Linked DNA regions of Xenopus tropicalis. The protein of the gene in region 2 interacts with the protein of the main gene of each other region in a biochemical or structural test. Links are inferred from orthologs where the notes say so. Each region holds a gene or a part of one and is shown on either strand. Other genes may lie near its edges.

What was found. The genes of interacting proteins can lie anywhere in the genome.
Region 1: of the proteins of usp33 (region 2) and arrb2, one has a biochemical effect on the other in vitro, tested with the Homo sapiens proteins (2 studies listed by BioGRID, with this or other methods). The link is inferred for Xenopus tropicalis from reciprocal best matches to the Homo sapiens genes USP33 and ARRB2.

What each region holds. Positions count from the first base shown.
Region 1 is NC_030679.2:142,421,462-142,425,490, reverse strand, and holds the start of arrb2 (beta-arrestin-2), read left to right. Parts: upstream 1-1,229; 5' UTR 1,230-1,274; coding exon 1,275-1,297; intron 1,298-4,029. UniProt on the Homo sapiens protein: Functions in regulating agonist-mediated G-protein coupled receptor (GPCR) signaling by mediating both receptor desensitization and resensitization processes.
Region 2 is NC_030680.2:80,329,463-80,332,962, reverse strand, and holds part of usp33 (ubiquitin carboxyl-terminal hydrolase 33), read right to left. Parts: intron 1,067-3,500; coding exon 1,013-1,066; intron 924-1,012; coding exon 861-923; intron 1-860. UniProt on the Homo sapiens protein: Deubiquitinating enzyme involved in various processes such as centrosome duplication, cellular migration and beta-2 adrenergic receptor/ADRB2 recycling.

The DNA of each region.
Region 1 (4,029 bases), on a different chromosome or scaffold from region 2:
ATCTATCTATCTATGTATCTATCTATTTAGCTGTCTATCTATCTATCTATCTATCTATCTATCTATCTATCTATCTATCTATCTATCTATCTATCTATCTAGCTATGTATGTATCTATCTATTTAGCTGTCTATCTATCTATCTATCTATCTATCTATCTATCTATCTATCTATCTATATATCGATCTAGGGTTGGACTGGGCCAGAAAAAAAACTCAGTGGTCCCTGGCCCTCATGGGCCCCTACCAGCCCCCCACTGCCCTCCCCCAATTGCGGGGGAAGTATGAGGTAAGTGGGGGGAGGCGCTGGCGGTGAGTGGGCAGTTGGGGCCCCTGGAGTAACAGGAGACGGGGCAATGGGGATATTGGGAGCCCAATCTGAAATCCAGGCCTGTTTGAACCACTTGCCTTTCTTTCTGCCCCTTTGCCAAATTGCAATATAAAAATCAATCTTGTTGTTGGAAGGGACGGGGTCACTGACCCTGGCAACCAAAACACTGCCATTCTGTGAGGTCACAATTGTCAGACTTTTTTTATCACCATATTCCAGTACATCCCTCAAACCGCTGGCTTATAGGTAAATTGGCCCCTAGCAACCAGCTTGCTGCTAAAATGCAAAACAGCATTGAACAAAAAAAGCTTCATTCTTATAAAAAAGCGCAAAACATATCTCAGAATATTACTGTTACTTCATTCTAAACGTCCCTTTGAATAGCAATCTATCTGGAAGGTATCTGAGCCGGTTACGGAGCAGCTACCGTCTGTCAGTAATACGTTTTAATCCTTCGGACGATCGCTAATTCTATTACGCGTTACACACCTACAAGGCAGCCAATCAGCGCCCCCTATTAGAAGGCAGCCAATCAGCAACCCATGTTACAAGGCAGCCAATCAGCAACCCCTGTTACAAGGCAGCCAATCAGCAACCCCTGTTACAAGGCAGCCAATCAGCAACCCCTATTACAAGCCACTGCCACGCCCTCCCTCCACCGTCCTCCTGTTGTCCAATCAGTTGTACGGCCCGACCTCTAACTCATATACGTCACGCCGCCGGCCCCTCCTTCCACAAGTCAGAGAGGGGGCGTGTTCAGTACTTGGTGACCGCGTCCTACCTGACCGTCACAAGGCCGGAAATCGTCCAGCCAATGAAAACGCGCAGGAAATGGGAAGAAGCGCACGGCCACGCCCTTTCCTACTGTGCGTGTGGAACCGTGCGCGTCCCCGCGGTGGGGGATTGGAGCGCGTACACACAGAGCAAGCGGAGGAGCTTGGAACATGGGGGAGAGGGCGGGAACCCGGTGAGTATTTGACTCTGTGAGGGGGAACTTATATACTGCGCCTTTCCCTGTATGTCTCTGTGTGTATGTGTCGCCTTGCCATTCACCCTGCTCACTGTCTGCCTGCCTAGTAGCCTCTATATACTGTGTATGTTACCCACACACTGACTGGTATACGGGCACTGTATATACTGTGTGTATAGGTACTGTTACCCACACACTGACTGGTATACGGGCACTGTATATACTGTGTGTATAGGTACTGTTACCCACACACTGACTGGTATACGGGCACTGTATATACTGTGTGTATAGGTACTGTTACCCACACACTGACTGGTATACGGGCACTGTATATACTGTGTATCGGTACTGTTACCCACACACTGACTGGTATACGGGCACTGTATATACTGTGTGTATCGGTACTGTTACCCACACACTGACTGGTATACGGGCACTGTATATACTGTGTATCGGTACTGTTACCCACACACTGACTGGTATACGGGCACTGTATATACTGTGTGTATCGGTACTGTTACCCACACACTGACTGGTATACGGGCACTGTATATACTGTGTATAGGTACTGTTACCCACACACTGACTGGTATACGGGCACTGTATATACTGTGTATCGGTACTGTTACCCACACACTGACTGGTATACGGGCACTGTATATACTGTGTATAGGTACTGTTACCCACACACTGACTGGTATACGGGCACTGTATATACTGTGTGTATAGGTACTGTTACCCACACACTGACTGGTATACGGGCACTGTATATACTGTGTATCGGTACTGTTACCCACACACTGACTGGTATACGGGCACTGTATATACTGTGTGTATCGGTACTGTTACCCACACACTGACTGGTATACGGGCACTGTATATACTGTGTATCGGTACTGTTACCCACACACTGACTGGTATACGGGCACTGTATATACTGTGTGTATCGGTACTGTTACCCACACACTGACTGGTATACGGGCACTGTATATACTGTGTATAGGTACTGTTACCCACACACTGACTGGTATACGGGCACTGTATATACTGTGTATCGGTACTGTTACCCACACACTGACTGGTATACGGGCACTGTATATACTGTGTATAGGTACTGTTACCCACACACTGACTGGTATACGGGCACTGTATATACTGTGTATCGGTACTGTTACCCACACACTGACTGGTATACGGGCACTGTATATACTGTGTGTATCGGTACTGTTACCCACACACTGACTGGTATACGGGCACTGTATATACTGTGTATCGGTACTGTTACCCACACACTGACTGGTATACGGGCACTGTATATACTGTGTATAGGTACTGTTACCCACACACTGACTGGTATACGGGCACTGTATATACTGTGTGTATAGGTACTGTTACCCACACACTGACTGGTATACGGGCACTGTATATACTGTGTATCGGTACTGTTACCCACACACTGACTGGTATACGGGCACTGTATATACTGTGTATCGGTACTGTTACCCACACACTGACTGGTATACGGGCACTGTATATACTGTGTATCGGTACTGTTACCCACACACTGACTGGTATACGGGCACTGTATATACTGTGTGTATCGGTACTGTTACCCACACACTGACTGGTATACGGGCACTGTATATACTGTGTGTATCGGTACTGTTACCCACACACTGACTGGTATACGGGCACTGTATATACTGTGTGTATCGGTACTGTTACCCACACACTGACTGGTATACGGGCACTGTATATACTGTGTATAGGTACTGTTACCCACACACTGACTGGTATACGGGCACTGTATATACTGTGTGTATAGGTACTGTTACCCACACACTGACTGGTATACGGGCACTGTATATACTGTGTATAGGTACTTTTACCCACACACTGACTGGTATACGGGCACTGTATATACTGTGTGTATCGGTACTGTTACCCACACACTGACTGGTATACGGGCACTGTATATACTGTGTATCGGTACTGTTACCCACACACTGACTGGTATACGGGCACTGTATATACTGTGTATAGGTACTGTTACCCACACACTGACTGGTATACGGGCACTGTATATACTGTGTGTATAGGTACTGTTACCCACACGCTGACTGGTATACGGGCACTGTATATACTGTGTGTATAGGTACTGTTACCCACACGCTGACTGGTATACGGGCACTGTATATACTGTGTGTATAGGTACTGTTACCCACACGCTGACTGGTATACGGGCACTGTATATACTGTGTGTATAGGTACTGTTACCCACACGCTGACTGGTATACGGGCACTGTATATACTGTGTGTATAGGTACTGTTACCCACACGCTGACTGGTATACGGGCACTGTATATACTGTGTATAGGTACTGTTACCCACACACTGACTGGTATACGGGCACTGTATATACTGTGTATAGGTACTGTTACCCACACACTGACTGGTATACGGGCACTGTATATACTGTGTGTATCGGTACTGTTACCCACACACTGACTGGTATACGGGCACTGTATATACTGTGTGTATCGGTACTGTTACCCACACACTGACTGGTATACGGGCACTGTATATACTGTGTGTATCGGTACTGTTACCCACACACTGACTGGTATACGGGCACTGTATATACTGTGTGTATCTGTACTGTTACCCACACACTGACTGGTATACGGGCACTGTATATACTGTGTATAGGTACTGTTACCCACACACTG
Region 2 (3,500 bases):
CTGTGCCTACTACATTAAACTCTATACCTCGGCAACAGGTTACCATAATCCACATAATCATTGTTCACAACGGTCGCCTATACCTCATCTTCCAATTCTGCTAACCCCCAATTAGGGTACTAGGTCTAAATTATCCAAATATATTATATACGCTACAAGATCCGCTGTGCCTACTACTCAGAAGGTTATTACCTCGGCACAGAGGATCATAGATCTAGGGTGTGAAACGCCGACGCGCGTTTCGCTACTGCTTTTTCAAGGCGGGTTGTAACTTTTGGAAATAATAAAAAACTTCCAAATAATCGCTACAAAGGTTACTTGCAAATTGTTGTTGAAACATTCGATAACTATACTAACAAAGTGATAACATAGTTACCAACCTTGGAAAGGCATTTAAGCCTAATACGGTGGATAGATCTGGGGTGTGTGACTATATATTTTATCTTTCCTTCCTTTTCTTTTTTTCGCTTTACCATTTTTAAAAACTATTTTAGTTGTAAATAAAATTAAAAGTTATATTTTAAAACTTGACAGGTGTGCCAAAAAAACTGTGTTTCTTTTACTTGTTTGACTTATACCTAATATTACACATTGTGCACCCTGGAACATAAATCACTGTAGTGCGAGGTTCCTCTACCAATAGATATACACTGTAACATTACAGGCACTGACAGTGAACCAGCAGCAAGAGAATGCACAAGTCTAGAATACACTTCTAAAGCTAAATGTACCAATTCCTAAACACTCTATAAAGAAACTAACGTCTTGATTTGAAAATAGAACATGTAGAGAGAAAGAAGCACAGCTGACAGGGCAACTTATTGGTTTAAGAAAAGAAATCTGAAAACATATAATCATACCTGAGAATGCAAAGTACTGTGGTCCACATGGGATTCTCCACAACCAACATAGGAACAGCCATTCTGCCAAATGAAACAAAATACTTTAAGTAAACTGCGTTAATATTTATAATAACCTATAGTAATAATTAAACCGATAACAAATATTTTACCTCTAGACAAGCCCAAAGATTTGGTCCTCTGACTCTGCAGTCCTGGCAGCTTCCCTGTAAAGACCATGAAGTAACACTAAATGTTACAGAAGCCGGCGATTCTGAAATTTAACCTTTATAATTATAAGATGGAAGGACAAGCTGTGCTCTAGGCCCAGATTCACAAGAAATTGCAGAGTTGCATATTCCTGCTTCTCTAATTGCAGATAAAAATATTAGTGTTGATAAAAGATTAAATGTGAAGCCACCAACTTTATTGGTTATATACACTTTAAACTTTATTTATAAAGCGCTGTACAATCTTACAAAATACAAAATTACACACAGTGAGGACAAGTGTTATAATAAATTTATATAAATGCACAGGGAGTAAGTGCCATGTGGTATGAGACAAAGTAGGAAGGAAGTCAGTGCTGTCCAACTTCTACGGTGCCGAGGGCCAGAATTTCTCTAGCATACATGGTGGAGGGCCACTAATGGAAGCCAGTTTTGACCACTCCCCTTTTTGAAACCACACCCACTTCAAACCACACCTATTTTATCACAATGGTGGTAGCACAGCAAAATCCCAAATGCTTGGTCCTTACTGTGGGGATATCAACCATCATTCATATGTGAAAGAATTATGTCATATTAAGATATACCCTTAAATTCCATATGCCTCCTCCTCCCCTGTGGATAGCAGAGCAACCCCCAGTACATAATTACACACCTTAGGGACCATTTAATGGCTATTTCCACCTGCTAACAAACTCCCACAACAAACCCCTGCCAGGTTCACCTCCCACAAGCAGCATAGGGTAAGCAGAGTATGGCACACACAGGCAGCACTCTGCCTGTCCTATGCTGTCTGTGTGTGCCATACTCTGCCTGTCCTACCCTGCCTGTGTGTGCCATACTCTGCCTTCTCTATGCTGCCTCTGTGTGCCATACTCTGCCTGCCCTACCCTGCCTGTGTGTGCCATACTCTACCTGCCCTACCCTTCCTGTGTGTGCCATACCCTCCCTGACCTATGCTGCCTGTGTGTGCCATACTCTACCTGCCCTATGCTGGCTGTATGTGCCATACTCTGCCTACAGTACCTATGTCTGAGGTGTGAAGAAGTGAACAATGGGAGTGATTACAGTCTGAGGTGTTAACACTGCAGGGGGTGAACAATGCAGGGATTAAAAGGTGTGAAAAACACAGGGGATTACATTTTTAAACAATACAGAGGGATTACAGCCTGAATCTGAGGTGAGAACCATGCAGGGGGCCAGTTAATCTCAGTACTGATACCATTTAATGCTTACTCAAAGGTAGGCCATCAAAGCAGCCAGACAGGTGGGGGGCCACACAGAGGGGGGCCGCCGGTTGGACAGCACTGTTCTAAGTGGTTGGGTAACAAACAAGCACAAATTGGAAGGTAAAAGTGCACCAGGTATGGACATTTGCCCTTAAGAGCAGGACTAGGTAAAATAGTGTTTTAGTGCTCCAGAAGGTAACAGCTAAGCTTTTTCTTAAAGAGAGTGGGTGAGTGTTCCCTAGGTAGGGATTCAGGGATAGAGTTCCAGAGGTAAAGAGCAGCAAGATAGAAAGGTTTAAGACGAGAGAGTATAGTGGGTGTGGATGGTGTAAAAAGGCGAGGGCTCTGAGAGGAGCGGAGGAGATTACCAGGAATGTGCAGGGAGACCAGTGAAGAAATGTAGTGAGGAGCAGAGGAGTGAAGGGCTTTGAATGTTAGCAGAAGGATTTTGTAAGCTATCCTTTGCTTAACAGGCAACCATGCAAAAGAGTTTAAGTGAGGCTGAACAGGTTTCCTCTTTAGAGTGAGCAGGAGGATCCTGGCAGCAGAGTTTAAGACTGATTAAGATTGCAGGGGACAGAGGTAGGAGTCTGGGAGGCCAGTTAGACCTTGTGCCTTCCCTAGGTTTCAACAGTTGACGCTCACTAAATACTTTCACTGGTCTATAGAGTGCTCTTGTATGTTATTTGTGCATTATTGTTCATGCCCATTTTTTAGAGGTCAGATTGTCCAAGCCAAGATAAGGACCATCCAGCTTGTTTTCACCACACAGTTCCAAAGCCAGCATCCGTGATGGTATGGGGGTGCATTAGTAACGTAACCACAAATCAGAGCCCGCACACAGGAGCCATTCAACATAGGAGCCCTGGTGGTTTATTGTGTAAAGCGGAATACACAATGTTTTGGGTATGTATGTGCCTATGGTTAGGTGGGTGATGAAAAAACTTTTTTTAACCACAATATGCTGTAAGTGTTCGCATCCATCTGCATGATGGCATACTTGGGGGATTTTTAGTGATTACAATGAGAAGTTATCTGGGAAAATTTTATTGCCAAAAAGGATATTCTCTGAAACAGAGTTGGCAGCTAAAATATAAATAAAATAAACCACAACTCGCACACCACAATTTTCACATACGGTGATCAGAAACCATAAGAATTAAAAAAAAAACAAATAAAACTTTGCAAGCTATTGGGTTTAT